Caenorhabditis elegans: one gene and its partner. The protein of the gene in region 2 purifies or fractionates together with the protein of the main gene of each other region. This does not show direct contact. Each region holds a gene or a part of one and is shown on either strand. Other genes may lie near its edges.

What was found.
Region 1: the proteins of chs-1 (region 2) and F18C12.4 fractionate together in Caenorhabditis elegans (co-fractionation; one large-scale study listed by BioGRID). This does not show direct contact.

What each region holds. Positions count from the first base shown.
Region 1 is NC_003279.8:8,058,969-8,063,579, forward strand, and holds F18C12.4 (Small integral membrane protein 29), read right to left. Parts: upstream 3,000-4,611; 5' UTR 2,826-2,999; coding exon 2,809-2,825; intron 2,646-2,808; coding exon 2,546-2,645; intron 2,498-2,545; coding exon 2,396-2,497; intron 2,292-2,395; coding exon 1,992-2,291; intron 1,944-1,991; coding exon 1,875-1,943; 3' UTR 1,821-1,874; downstream 1-1,820. Other genes in the region: K04G2.10 (uncharacterized protein), read left to right, coding at 836-1,510; che-3 (Cytoplasmic dynein 2 heavy chain 1), read right to left, coding at 3,091-3,537, 3,751-4,133, 4,583-4,611.
Region 2 is NC_003279.8:7,551,977-7,561,539, reverse strand, and holds chs-1 (Chitin synthase chs-1), read right to left. Parts: upstream 6,686-9,563; 5' UTR 6,540-6,685; coding exon 6,432-6,539; intron 6,384-6,431; coding exon 6,242-6,383; intron 6,198-6,241; coding exon 5,596-6,197; intron 5,552-5,595; coding exon 5,460-5,551; intron 5,412-5,459; coding exon 5,064-5,411; intron 5,016-5,063; coding exon 3,544-5,015; intron 3,498-3,543; coding exon 3,115-3,497; intron 3,070-3,114; coding exon 2,667-3,069; intron 2,614-2,666; coding exon 2,359-2,613; intron 2,248-2,358; coding exon 2,084-2,247; 3' UTR 1,911-2,083; downstream 1-1,910. Other genes in the region: T25G3.3 (60S ribosomal export protein NMD3), read right to left, coding at 1-222, 269-483, 936-1,331, 1,382-1,509, 1,555-1,696; T25G3.1 (DUF4604 domain-containing protein), read right to left, coding at 7,060-7,389, 7,466-7,561, 7,637-7,681. UniProt on the Caenorhabditis elegans protein: Essential for the embryonic synthesis of chitin, a component of the eggshell.

The DNA.
Region 1 (4,611 bases), 510 kb from region 2:
CGTCCTACTTCAGTCGTCTTCGTCCCATTGATCTTGACCTGAAACATTTTGAAAACTAAAGCGAGTAGAAACGAAGTAAAAATAAAGACGGCTCTATCTGATTCCATATCAATTCAGCATCCCGGAAAACTGTTGTAATCTGGACATGACCGGGAGACGCGAAAATTCCCTCACATTTTCTTGTCTCAAAGATCTGTCAACTCCTGATTCCAACCAGTTTTCCGCAATACTGAATTGAGAGTTAATATTTCATGCATTTCGCCGGAGTTCAATTTGATTCTGCAGTTTTCACTTTGAGCTAATCTCCAACTTTTGCTTTCAATCCAATAAATCATAGACAACTTTGATAAATGAAGCATATAATCTGTACTACCACGAATTCGCCCGTCGATTGCTCCAACATAAATCGAATAGCACGTTGGAATGGGCAACCATTGTCGGCGACTAAAAATCTTAATATTATAAAAAATTTTGTTCCAGTCCCAACATTCTCGAAATCTTTTTTGATCTACCAAATTGGTACTTCTTTGTAAATGTCATAAACAGGTGCGAGAGGAACCAGATAATATCGATCTCATAGCAAGAGAGAAATGATGTCATCGGAGCAGATGTTCTCCTTTCCTATGCCATTCTTTTTGCTAGTTACAGCACTACATTATCGATTGCAGCTTTGGGTCTCGACACGAAAACGCTCGTCTCCGATATATCGACTGCTACTGTGCTCAATCAAACATTACCCATCTTTGTTCTTGTTTTCCTTATTTTTTATTTTTTTTGGAACACATTAATTTTTATATTTTTTATTTATTTCAGAAACTCAACACTAAAAAGAAGTATGCAACGCTATAATCCACCACAAAGCTCGAATCAAATGTACTGCCCAGGATGTAATCGTCAAATTCGAAAAGTTCAAGAGTTGATGGACGAGAGGTACCTGACAAACATTTGTAATGAAGTGGAGAAGAACACCATGAGACTTCAAATTCAAGATTTGGAGAGACAAGTTCAAATGCGTCGATGTGAGAATCGGAAGATGAAGACTATTCAGGAAGTCGAAAAGGAAGGATCAACAGAATCTCAAGATTCAATTCATGACCATCCAATGGTAAAAGTGTTGATGGAGATCAACGATCAATTGATGATTGAAATGAGAAAAAAGGTTGAAGCTCCAGAAGAATATCCATTAGAAGAATGGAAAGATGCTATTGAACAAAAATGGAGTGAAAAGTATGAAAAGCTTCGTGATTATGCATTGGATCAACAAGACATGGTCAAATATATGGAAGAGAATGATGATCGACAAAAAGAAAGTATTGAGAAGTATAAACGGAAAATTGGTTCGATGAAAAAAGTAATTGAAAAGATGGAATTCGAAATGGCACTTCTTCAATCGGAATTGGAAATGAAAGACTCCTCATGTGTCGAGAAGTCTGTAAATAGTGAGGAAAAGCAGGAAAACAAGGAAAATCTTTCTGGTGTTCTCGATAATAAATTCATTTTCCAGAACTAATAATCTAACTTCAAAATCTCTTTTTTTTTCAATGCTTTATGTTATTTTCTTGCTTTTTACGAATAAAGTCTGTAATGACTATTTTTCGTTATATTGAAAAACCTTGGAGTCAGGAGTCTTCATAAAAGCAACAAACTTGCCCATTTCGGTAAAATAATTTAACTTTTAAAATAATCTAAAAAACAATTAAATGTTTTCTTGGAAAATTGTTTTGCTAAATCTTTTCATTCACCCAAAAAAATCAATGGCTATGGAAGCCCCTCAGTATTGAAAAATAAATGTTCTCAGGTTTCATATTTAGGTAAATTCATTAAATGTTACGAAAACTTTATTTATTCCAATAAGTAATTTCTAACAAGTTCTATCAATTGTCATCATCTACGAGTTCATTTCTTCTGACTAATCGCATTATGTCCAAAATCAATTTCTTTTTCTGAAAAATGAAATAAAATTGAAAATTTAATTTAATTTATGTTCTTACCTTTGCATAGTCATTATCGCTCATTCCCTCAAGAACTGGATCGAAATCTCTTTCGAATGTTTCACTAAGCTTCTGAGATGTTGACACGTGATTTGTCCAATGCTTGTAAAAGAAATGTCTTGAGGAATCAGATTTCCAGGCATCTTTCATCTCGACAAATTGCGATTCTTCTTCCTTATTCCATGGTGTATGCATTAATCCAGTGAAATGATCAATTGGGCGACGACGAAGGAGATGGAGGAGAATGATAATTGAGAATATTGTTAGAAAAATGCAATACATGTATGTCAAGTAGTCGGGCTGAAAATTTTGGATTCAGTAAACTTTGTGGATTTTGAAGATTTGAAACTGGGCACTTCATGATCATAAAATTGCTTTAAACATCCAAATAACAAGGAACGAACCAACAAAAAGCGCTCATCTGGAGGAATTTCTTTTGTCGGTCCATTTATCTTGTGTGGATATGATTCCATTGGTAATGTGTAAAAATGATTGATAAAGATTACCTGTGATGTATTAAATAATTGATTTTTAACATTCATCGATTTTCTCACCGTTGGACCTTTTCCACTTTTCTGATAACCGGCCAATGAATCCATTTGGGTTTCAGGAGATCCATCTGCGAGACGTACTGATAGAATACAAGATAATACTCTAAAATGGAAAGTATTCTTGAGATTGATCTATTTATTTCAGAGGGCACGATGTCCGCCCGCCTCTCGCCCAGAAAACGCCCCACAAATTTGATATGTAGAGCAAGCTTAAATAACTTGTTCACATAGTTGCACATAGAACTGAGATTGAGCACAAAACTTACAAAATTGCACATTCCATTGTTGTCTTCTATTGAAAAAAATAATGATGCTGGATTTTTGAAATTTTCGTTATCAATGTTACAAATTCTACGTGGTTACGTCTAAATAATTATTTGTATTCTCTTGACTTCTGGAGAAGGCAGGGACTCGATTTCCAAAGCGCCGCAAGTTTGGTGTATTGTATTACTGTTGTAGTTAGAAATATATTCTAATCAATTAATAAAACAATCACTCAATCTCCAAATAATATTTATTAAAACTTTATCACGGTTAAAAAATTAAAATCATCTCAAAAACAATGCAACAGCTGCAATATTCCATTGATCGGCTCCACGACATGGCATATTAACCGAGCATATCAAATCAGATCGTTCACTTGAACTATACACTGGTACCTGAATCTGCTCTCCAGTAATCGTTGAAGAACTTTCAGATGTCCATGCAAGAAAAACTATAGGAGCTTGAGAATAAGCAGCACTGGATACTGTAGTTTCACGAAGAAATGAATCAAACGTTGCTCCTTGAAGCAAGAGCCCTTGAACTTGAACACATTGTTTAGCTGGTAGTTGAGAAGGAGTCCATGCTGATGATAAGATCAGTTGATCTAATGGAATTTTTATTTGACGAGATGTTGTTTGACGGAGTGCATTTAAAAAGATGTTTGGATAGAACAAGTCCGAAAAATCAATTGGGGATGAGAGCAGAGAAGATGATTTTGACGATTCGAACAGCTGAAGAAATGTATATTTATTGTGTAAATTGTAAGTTTGTTTAAATGTGGAGTATGGGGAATGGGGATTTAGTTTTAAAAAAATCAAAACTGTTTTAAAATTTGAAATACCACAAAAGAAATACAAATCATATTGCCAAAGAATGAAAAATCCAACTTTAAGTTGACAGCAATAAAGTCATGTTTTTTTATTTTTTATTTTCAAAACTGTTACCTGCAATGTTCCACGTGTCTTCTTAACAACAACATTTAAATAATCTGCAGGATCACTTGGTCCCGCCCACATGCTATCCCATTCATCAGGTGTCTGTTGAAATACAAGTGATTGAATAGTTTTCTGAACGGCTGGAGAAGCCAACGAAGGGGTTTTCATCGATTTTGCCACGTGACCAATGCTTCGATGAAGTTGTTTTATAAGAGAAAGAGCGTTTATAGTTTCCAGACAAAGGACTTCGGAAATCGGATCAGCAGATCGGATTGCTGTCGGAAGTTCTCTTTTTGGTAGATCATCAGATTGGCAGAGCTTCTTCCAAAGCGACACTATTTGTGAAATTTTATCTGATTGGTCGGACAAGGCGTTCTTTGTATCACCGAGTGCTGAAATAGTTCAATACTTGTGCAAATTTGTAATAAATTCAATAAAACATTCAAAAACTTTGTGAATGCGGAGTAGCGTCAGTGGATACCCGAAATGACAGAAAATGGTCTCACTATACCGAATATAGCTGTAAAAATTTTTAAAAAATTCTAATTTTTTGACGAATATTTCCATGACTATATCCATTAATCAAAAGGGATGAATTATTTTTGAATTTGCTTTTTTCTTAATTTTTAAAAATTATTTTTTATACATTTTTCGGCGATAATAAACGCGGGAATTCCACAGCATTTCAGCCTTTTTTATCTTTTGAAAAATTTAAAAAAATCATAAAAATGTTTTACTCTTCTTTTTTATTGTATTTATTGAGCCTGTTTTTGTAATATTACGCAAAAAATTCCACACACGCTGCTCCACCTTCAAACCCCGAGTAATCTGATCTTCTTACCAAGAGTTCGAATAGATGAAATTGTTCGA
Region 2 (9,563 bases):
AAGTGTCCAATGTGAGTTCTAGCTGATAGAGATTGAGCATCAGACATTCCAACTTGATCACTTCTCACCAACCATACATCTGCCAATTCGTGTTTCTTACTCACATATCCGTGGCCTGCCTTTCTCTCAAAGTTATTTACAGGTTCCACATCGAGAACGTAGAATTCTGTCAATTGTTTTGGTCCGCAAAGAGAATCGAAAGGCTCTCTCCAGAAATTAGTTCTGTAATATGCCAATTTTCATTTCTTTTCTAGATATTTGTACTTACGCTTGAACATCAACCAACTGCAAATTGTTGGGGTCGATGAGAGTGATGACATTCGAGACACGAAGACAAAGAACGATTTGTGACATATTTCCGTATTGTTGAGCCTGTTTCTTTGGGAGACAAACGATATTGTCTCTGCAGATTGGTACGATTTCAACGCAGAAAGTGTGTTTGTAATCGTATGTGTTGTTTTTGGTATCGTGAGAGACAAGTTCCTGAAATAAGAAAATGTCATAACTGATGGTGAATATAATATGGTGTTTTGCGAACTGACTCGTAAGAATTCAGAGAATAATTTGAAAAAGGGGTGCGCGGCAATTCTACAAAATGATACAGTTTGACATGTTTTTCTAATATGTTTCATCAAAATGTAATGGTAAAATACATAAAAAATAATTGCTTTGCCGGAAAAAATCAGATAAATTATCAACAAAAAAAACAATTCGGGTAGTTTTCAACGTTCAGTAATTTTTTGAGCACTTTCAGTTGTTAATAAAAAGTTATTTTCAGATAAATCAAAACATTTTTTTTACATTTTACTGAAAAATATTGGGAGAGCATGCCCCTCTGGCTCATTTCGTAAAAATGCCGGTCGGCAATTGCTATGCACCCCTGATTTGTAGGCAAACTGATGTCAATTATTTCAGCATCATCGACTTTCACAAACCTGCGCGTAGTGATATTTGCATGGAAGTACAGTCATCAAAAAGTCGACAAATTTTCTCGCTTCTTGTTGTTTCGCAAAGTAAAAATCAATTCCAGTCGGAACAGGCTTGACTCCAGTACATTCTTTGTGAGCGGAGTGTTTGAGGAGAAGTTGTTCCAAATAGAAAAGAGTCTTCTTGAACTCTGCACGTTGACGAACTTGCACACAAGCACGCCAGAAATCTTTGGCTTCAGCACGACGACAATCATCGCACAATTGACTGTGAACGGTAAACTCAACGACGACAGCTTGTTGTAGGATTGTATTAGTGAATACTTCCTTTTGAATTGTGATTTTCACTTTGATACGCTTGGAGTGAGCTTCTGTCCATACAAAGCACGCATCGGTCAGACGAACCTAAATTTTGGATTTTATTGAAAACTGAAGTGATTCCGTGAATGATTTACTTTCGTTAGCATTGGCTTCAACTTTTTCAAGCAAATCGAAAGAAGTTCTTTGGATTCCAGTTCTGCTCTCATCCATGCACTTGGTGGAACAAAGTAACGATCACAAAATTTGCACATGTAAATTGTGCCTGAAATTTGAAAAATTATTATTTCAACAATTTTAGAAAACTCACATTGCCGAGTGATTCCCTCGGTAATATCTACCCTCGAGCGAAGGCATCCACTGCACATATTCGCTGGATTTGGTTCAATCGCAACACCGCATTCGCAGCAAGCGATTAGACCAACTGTCGGTTTTATGTCCAGGGATTGCATTTTGACTGAAAAAAAATATATAATTACTGCAAAATCAAAGCGATCTGCTTGCAAATTCTTCAAAACTACGAATATTGAGGATATCAAAACATTTTTTTAGGAAGAATGGAGAAAAATTGCGAAAGAAGAATGACCCTGCAAACGTGCTCGCCCGAACTTTTCAAGTAAGACATTTGAGCGGATAATTCAAATAAAATATCCAAGCAGGAACAATATAATCCCTTAAAGTTTCTCATTTAAAAAGAGGGTGAAAAGTTTCCTCTTCTTTATTTTAGTTACAAATTCATTCAACAGAAGTTAATAAAGGCGAGAGATGAGGTAAGAGCATGCAATAATAATAATACTAATTGGTATGCAATAAATAAAAAATAAAAATCAATTTTAGCACTATTCAGTTGTGGAAAGTGCACTTCTTTGCATTCGCTTTGCGAGACGAGCCTTTTGAAGTTTGTAGAGAACATTGCCGGTATCGGATTCCTCTCCGCGATGCCTTGTATAGCCGTCGGCAGCGTGTCCAGTACTGACACCGAGAGAATTAATCATTAGACGAGCTGAAAATTATATCTTTAGTTTTTGCGAAAATTTAAAATCATTTAATGACAATTATTCATCAATAATTTTGAGTTGTTTCGTCTTTAAACTTAGTTTTAAAAAGAAAATACCATTATTCATAATCCTCTCATCATCATTCTTTGTATTTATCACTGGTGAAACTCCGTATTCGTACAAATTTTTCACTTCTTGGAAAGCTCCTATCATAGTGTTAAGTCGATGGAGAAGCATTCCGAGAGTTTGAACAAAAAGAATAATTAGAAGGAAAACAACAATTCCCATTCCAAGTGGATCTATTTTTAATGGTTCATCGGTTTCCTCGTATTGTCCAGTCATCTCATTCATTTTCGTCCATCGGAAGTTTTCTAGAAAAAAAAAACAAATTTTTTGAATTGACCATAAAGGTAATATTGCTTACTGATTGGCGAGAACTTGATGCTGAGCACATTTTTGTGTTTCTGAATCAAAAAGATGGCAAGAGCAAGAAGAGAATTAACGAGAAGAATAGTGAAAGCAATCTGATTTCGTAGAGAAGCCAATCCTTCGGCGACGGCTTTCATTTCAGCTGGCGTCGTCTTGATCGGTTTCAGATATGCATTGATGAGCTCGTTCCAGAAAACCTTTTCCGCACTTTTCAGTTTTCCTCGTTCACAAACTTTCAAGCTATGACTTGTCATCCACACATAACGGTTTGCCTTCTGAATCTCTTTTTGAGTCTTCTCTACGTTCTCTTCAATCGGAAAATCTGCAGTTTGAGTTTCTTCTTCACGTTTCTCCTTCTCCTCTGTTGCATCGAGAATTTTCTTCACGTCGGCACCACTCTGAAAATAAATTATTAATTTCACATTTCTAAAGTTAAAGATAACCTCAATACTTCTCAAGGCTAGCTCCATTCTCTGCATTTTCTTTTCCATTTTCTCTCGTCTCTCTTCATGTTCCTTCTTCTCCCGACAACTGATTAATCTGAATCCCTTTTTCACAATATCAATCACTCTGTCTATAAATTGTTCCATAGGCGCTTTTTTCGTCTTTTGTCCCGTTGCCTTAGCGACAGCTTCACGAGTTCCCCACGTGATAACGTTGAGATTGATGAGCGAATATAAAGTGAGGAACACATATGTAGATGGAATCATGAGGAAGAATACGACACCATGGATAATATTCGTGAATTCTTTTGGATGAAGACATGCAGCAAAGAAGAAGATTCCGACCATTGTGACAATGAAGAGAGATGTAGGAGCGAGAACAGCTGAAAATTGTCGTAATCAGGATGAAGGGATAATGTAAAAACGCACTCTCGAGAACAATTTGACTGCTGGTAGCGACTAACACAGCCAACATTACGAACGCGTACGCAATCGACATGTACTTGGCATAGATAAGTTGAATATTCGACTCTGTTGTGAAACAAAGAACAATGAAAAATCCTATCGGAATTCCATTATAGAGCATCACATCAGATCCTCGAAGTTCAAAAGCAGCAACTTGGGCGAATACGAGCATAGTGAATATAATGGCAGGTCCGAGCATTGAGAAGAAGATCACAAGGAATTGATAGGCGATGTAGGCATATGAAATGGCGTCATTATTTTCTGAAGCTCTCTTGTAATCCATCAGAAGATCTACTGTATTAGCAATCGACGAAGGAGTCCAGCGTCTACGTTGATTGAAAAATTCTTCGAATCCTTCCGGAGCGTATGTTTCAGCATCAGACGCAGCGGCGTATTCGATACGATATCCTTGTTTCAAAAGCAATGTACTTAACCATCTGTCTTCTCCTTGATCATATTGGACGTAGTGACGTGGTTCGGAAGCGGTCTTAGTATACTTGTGCATGATATTGTCATCCATCAATGCAGATGCACGGAACAATGAGAAACATCCAGGCGCACAAAGGACACAACCGAAAACATGTTCAGCAGCCTTTTGAAACCAATGAGCAATAGCGTACTCAAACTTCTGATACCAAACCATTATACCATTTCCAATTGGGTGAATTCTTCCACAAGCACATCCAATATCACTTTTCGCATTCATCAAGTGGAGAAGACGAAGAAGTGCGTCAGGTTCGAACTTAGAATCTCCATCAATAGCCAGAATAAACGTGTTGTCAGCCATCTGTTGTCTATCTTCAATAGAAAGTGGGCAATCCATGATACGATGACCAAGAAGGTAATACATGTACATAACTTGGCTCCATCGCTTTTTGTGTCGAATCATCTTTTTATCCTTCAAATGTACGAAGAGTAAAGTTCCTGATGGAAGTTTTACAACAAGACGACCACCGTAAGGTGTATTGACGAGAATTCTTGTTTCCATCTTTCCTTCTTCATTTAATCTTTCACCAGTCATTTCATTGAGCAAGTCAAAGAACATGTTGAAGTATTCATTTGGCTGCCTTTTCTCTATTCCATCTTCTTCGACATCTTCCCATGCGTCATCGAAGAAAATGTGACCTTCCAATCGGTATCGAAGTTCATTAGCTTTCTTGTTGTTCATACGTGTCGCATGATCCACATCAAGCTTCAGAATACTACGAAGTACTTGTCGCATCTCGGTTTCTGTTTCATGCCACATGGTTGCACATCCATAAACCGTAGACACTCTGTCAACTTCATCGTTTCGAATTCGTAGCTCATCATTCTCATCCGATATGTCTTCTTCTTCGGTAAGCATAGTTTTTTCTTGCCGATTCAGTGAATGTTGGAATACCACAAGAGATTGCTCGATGCAGAGGCCATTACAGACAGGAGGCATTGAAGAGATGCTAGAAACATAATTATTGAAATATGAAAACAAAATTGCCTCAACTTACATTTCTTCGTTCGTATCAAAGTATCGTTGTCTAACCAATCTCCATCCTCTATAGCATCCTACCAACAACCAAATAAGGCAAATGTAAAAGTCCGGAGATGCGATTCCTCGTGCGCTTTGGAACCATTGATCACACACCCAATGAAGACCAAATCTAGCCAATCGTCGAGCTATTGAACATGTGGGTGATTGGCAAGCATAACGGACGTATCCATAAGCGATGAGAGGAGCAATGGAGAGTGGGTGCACGAAAGAGAACGGATGCAGATCAAGAGCAGCCAAGAAGCGTGAAATCCCTCGCATGACAAAATGGAGAACAATGATTCCGGTGGCTAGTAGAAGAAGCCTCCTGTAATTAGGGAATTAGTATAAATGCTTCAGTTTTTGATATCCTCACGTGTGGGGTTGCCGTGTACTGAAACTAAAGAATGCCTTGACAAAATGAGATGAATTAAGCTTCTTGTGATCGTTAATATAGACAGCAGATACCTGTAAGTACAATTTTTCTTCCAGAAAAAATCAATTATGCTCACCAGAACTGAAACTGTACAAACGATGCGCATGAGGGAAACAATAAGTTTCGTGGTGGTGTTCATCTTCCGTACAGCATATTTGAGCCTGTATAACTCATCAAATGAAGTACCAGAATGCGTTGTGTCAATCCAAGATTCCCAAAAGCCAGCTGAAGTGCAAATTACTCCAATCGGAAGTGCAATTATAGCTGTGAACTTGTTATCAAATAGCGCCCAAACATAACAGCTACTCATGAGAACCAAGAACATAATGACATGTGGAATTGCAACGAAGCATCGGCCGAGACGATTTCGGAATGATCTTCCTGTTCTAGCAGCAGAAACCATTGCTACCAAAGATCTTTGCAACACAGCCACAAGTGGGAAGCATGCGCTGAGAACAAGGCATCTGGCGAGATCCAATTGAGGGAAAACGTGGAAGCTCAGAACGGCGAGTCCGATTGCTCGAAGAGATTCCAGAACAACCACTGACTTGACGAGTTGACCACATTGTCCTTTCCACATATCTATGCCAGAACGTATCAGATTGATAGTATCAGGGAAACACTGAATCAATAGTAGCGACAGATATATTCCCGCAGTTGTTGTAGATGTACGTCGAACTGAAAAAAAAATAATTACGACGTTTTGAGGAAATGAATCTTACCGGCGGCTTTCGTGCATTTCCTGGCGAATTTCCCAATGAGATGAGCTCGAGGGACGATGTTAGTAGCCATGATCAATACGATGAGTTTCGAAAAAACTGATCCAAGTGTTAATACTATATTACAAAGTGCGAAAAGAAGTAGCTGAAAATAATTTTTTAAAGTCATTTTTAGAAATTATCGTTTTATTACCTTTGTCGCCTGTAAAACTGTGACCATCCATGGCGAAAGGGTCGGTCCATCAGTGGCAGATCTTTTGTGCGATCGAAACGCATTCCAATAGTTTTCCCCATCGTTCATCCTGGTAACGAACGAAGAGGAAATGGCGAAAAACGGGTGATCACACCCAGACTCGAGGTGAATTCGCGCTTGCTGTTTCGTTGATTGATAAACGTAGTTTGAACCAGAGCTGAAATCCAAATAAAAAGGTCAAATCGACTGAAAATGTTCTCGAAATGGGACTGTTTACAAAAGAAAAATTTCGCGCGAAAAAAGTGAATTTCGAAGCAACCTCCAGCTTTCGCTGCAAGACCCACTCGTAACCCTACATGTCTCTTGAAGTAGTACGGTAGTCATTTTTTATAAAAACAGGTCTACTCAGTCTTCATAAGCGTTAAATCATTGGAGAAGGGATTCATTTTTTCCTGAATGTCATTTAGCTTTTAATTCTCAAAAATGTTTTTTAAGCTAATTCACTTTTTGTTTATTATTGCTAATAAAATTTGAGAGAAGTAATACGTGTAGAAAGAGAGATCAATACGCTTTATTCAGCGAAGGTAATAATTTTAGATTCAATAAAACAAGATAAAAACGGAAAAAATTAATATTCTTCTTCATCTTCATCGTTAAACGATAAGAGACCTTTTTGAACTTTTGGCAAGGGAGCATTCTTCTTCTTCTTCTTTTCTTCTTCGTCAGCTGCAGCACTATCTCCTGCTCGTTTTGTTGGTTTCTTGAAAGTGATTTTCCCTTCGGCAATCAATTTGTCACCTTCTTCCTTTTTCTTTTCTTCCAGCTCTTTTTCAAGCTCTTCTTTCGTCAAATCAGTCTTTTCGTTTAACACAACCACCTGTGGTCTATCTTCTTCCTTCATCCGCATTAAATCAGTTTCATCGTCGTCAAAATCGGCTGGGCCGGCCTCATCTTCGTACTGAAATTAAAAATAAAAAGAAAAGTTGGACGATTCTTATCAAATTTCCCGTTTACAGAGGAAATCAGAATTTAACCTTGTCCTCGAGCTTAGCTGGTTCCTTGTATCCCAATTTTGCTTTCATTGCTTTAATAAAAGCGGGCTCTTCTTGTTCGACGAAATGAAGATTTGCCTGAAAATGTCTTTTCAGAAATTGATTATATTCATATGAATGAACAAATGAACCATTTATATTTTCAATTGTTACCTTGTCTTTGTAAGACATTGAAGATGATTGTCCTCGCTTTGACATGTTCCGTAGCTGAAAAATGTACATATTCCTAATTTTTATCTAATTTTTTCGTAAGATATTTGGTTTAAAAATCAAAAAATATTTCTTATTTAAAAAATAATGATGTCGGCAAGTTGGCGTCAAATGCGGTGTTTCACCGTACACCATTGCAATGCAGCTTGAATGCGTATTGCGCGATATATTTGACGCGCAAAACATCCCGTAGCAAAAACTACAGTAATTCTGTGAATGACTACTGTAGCACTGGTGTCGATTTACGGAAATATTTTATTGGTCGATAAAATATTGGAACAAAACACAGAAAAAATGACAAAGCGGAACGAGAAAACTAAAGAAAATTTGGTATGTCGAAAATTCTAACATTAACTCGTTTTGAAAATCGAGTCCGTAAATCGACAACAGAGTCACAGTAGTCGTTTAAAGAATTATTGTAGTTCTCGCTATGAGATATTTTGCGCGTCAAATATGCTGTGCATTAAGCATTCTCAGAATTTCGTGGTCTCGTAATAAAAGTTGGCTTGCAATTTGCGAACATTGAATAAGATAAATCCTTCCTAATTAATTATTTACATAATTTCTCTGTAAAATTTCTTAATTTTCCCATAAAATGTTATTTAGGTATGGTTCTGTAGTAAGATTTGACTGTTATTCCATTCACCAACATGTGACACCCGACTTTTTTCTTTCCTGTAAAGTCAGAAAATGTTTATCTATTCGGCTCACAATTGCGTTTTCCTCCTCTCCTCCCGTCTCATGATATATTTTGACTCTAATTCTTCAACGTATTGCTCCCTTGTTTGTATTGGTTGAAAAAAAAACAAAAGTAGAAAATATGTAACATTAGAGAAGCAGAGAAAATAAAATGAAATTCGAGCGGAGTCTTCATGAATATTCGATGCCTTCGTCATGTTTGAAGATGATCCAAATAATTTTTGAGACAGTTTATCTTTCTTTGCGCTGTTCTTTGAAACATTAGAACATTTTTATCAGTTGTTTTTAATTGAAGTATGAAATCAAGAAATCATCATATGCCCTAAAAGTCACATAAACTTTTCCATGACAGCAGTAATTTTGGCAATGTTTCAATCAATTTCAAACAAGAGGAATTAAGTTATCGTCATTAAAACATAAAAGTTGATTTGCTGAGTTTCCAAGTTCAATCGGTTTGCATTTTTATCCATAAGTCATGTGATCTTGATCAGTTCCGTATTTCTTATCCCTCGCTCGTCGGAAATCTCTCACACTTTTGTCAATTATTATTCTGGGCCCGAGTCAATTTTTCAGTGTCTCTTCCGCAACAAGTCAACACTTTTTCTCGTTCTCTCTCTCGTTTTCCCTCCTTCTTCTCGACCACGTTACGAATTGTTCGTGCCCCGGGACGTTCCGAAATGACGACTGCTTGCATGAATTAGGGTGTATGTAGAGTTTCTAGTCAATCTGTTCAAAACCCTTTAGTCTTCAATAAAACTGATCTCATCATCTTTTCTTTTTTTTGTGAATCCGGATCGTATCAAAAGTAAATCATCCATAATTTTATTTATCTCCATTCTGCGTTGAAAGAGATTTTGGCTACAGTATGGTTGTCCATTTGTCATTAATGTTCCATTTTACATAGTTTACACTTACACGTAAGGGTTGAGTAGCACCAGTCTAAATGCACTTAAAATGATCCAAAACGACCGAATATCATAATAAAACAGTCCAATAAATTTCTAGATTTTTCATAATTTCCGGCCAACTCTTTGGCAATTGCCAAAATGTTGAAAATAAGAGCTTTTGAGGAAATCCAAAGCAATATCTCGCATGTTCAGACCGATACAATGTTGTATTACGAATAAATAAAAAAAATCAATGTATAAAATATGTAGGGAAAAGAAACGTT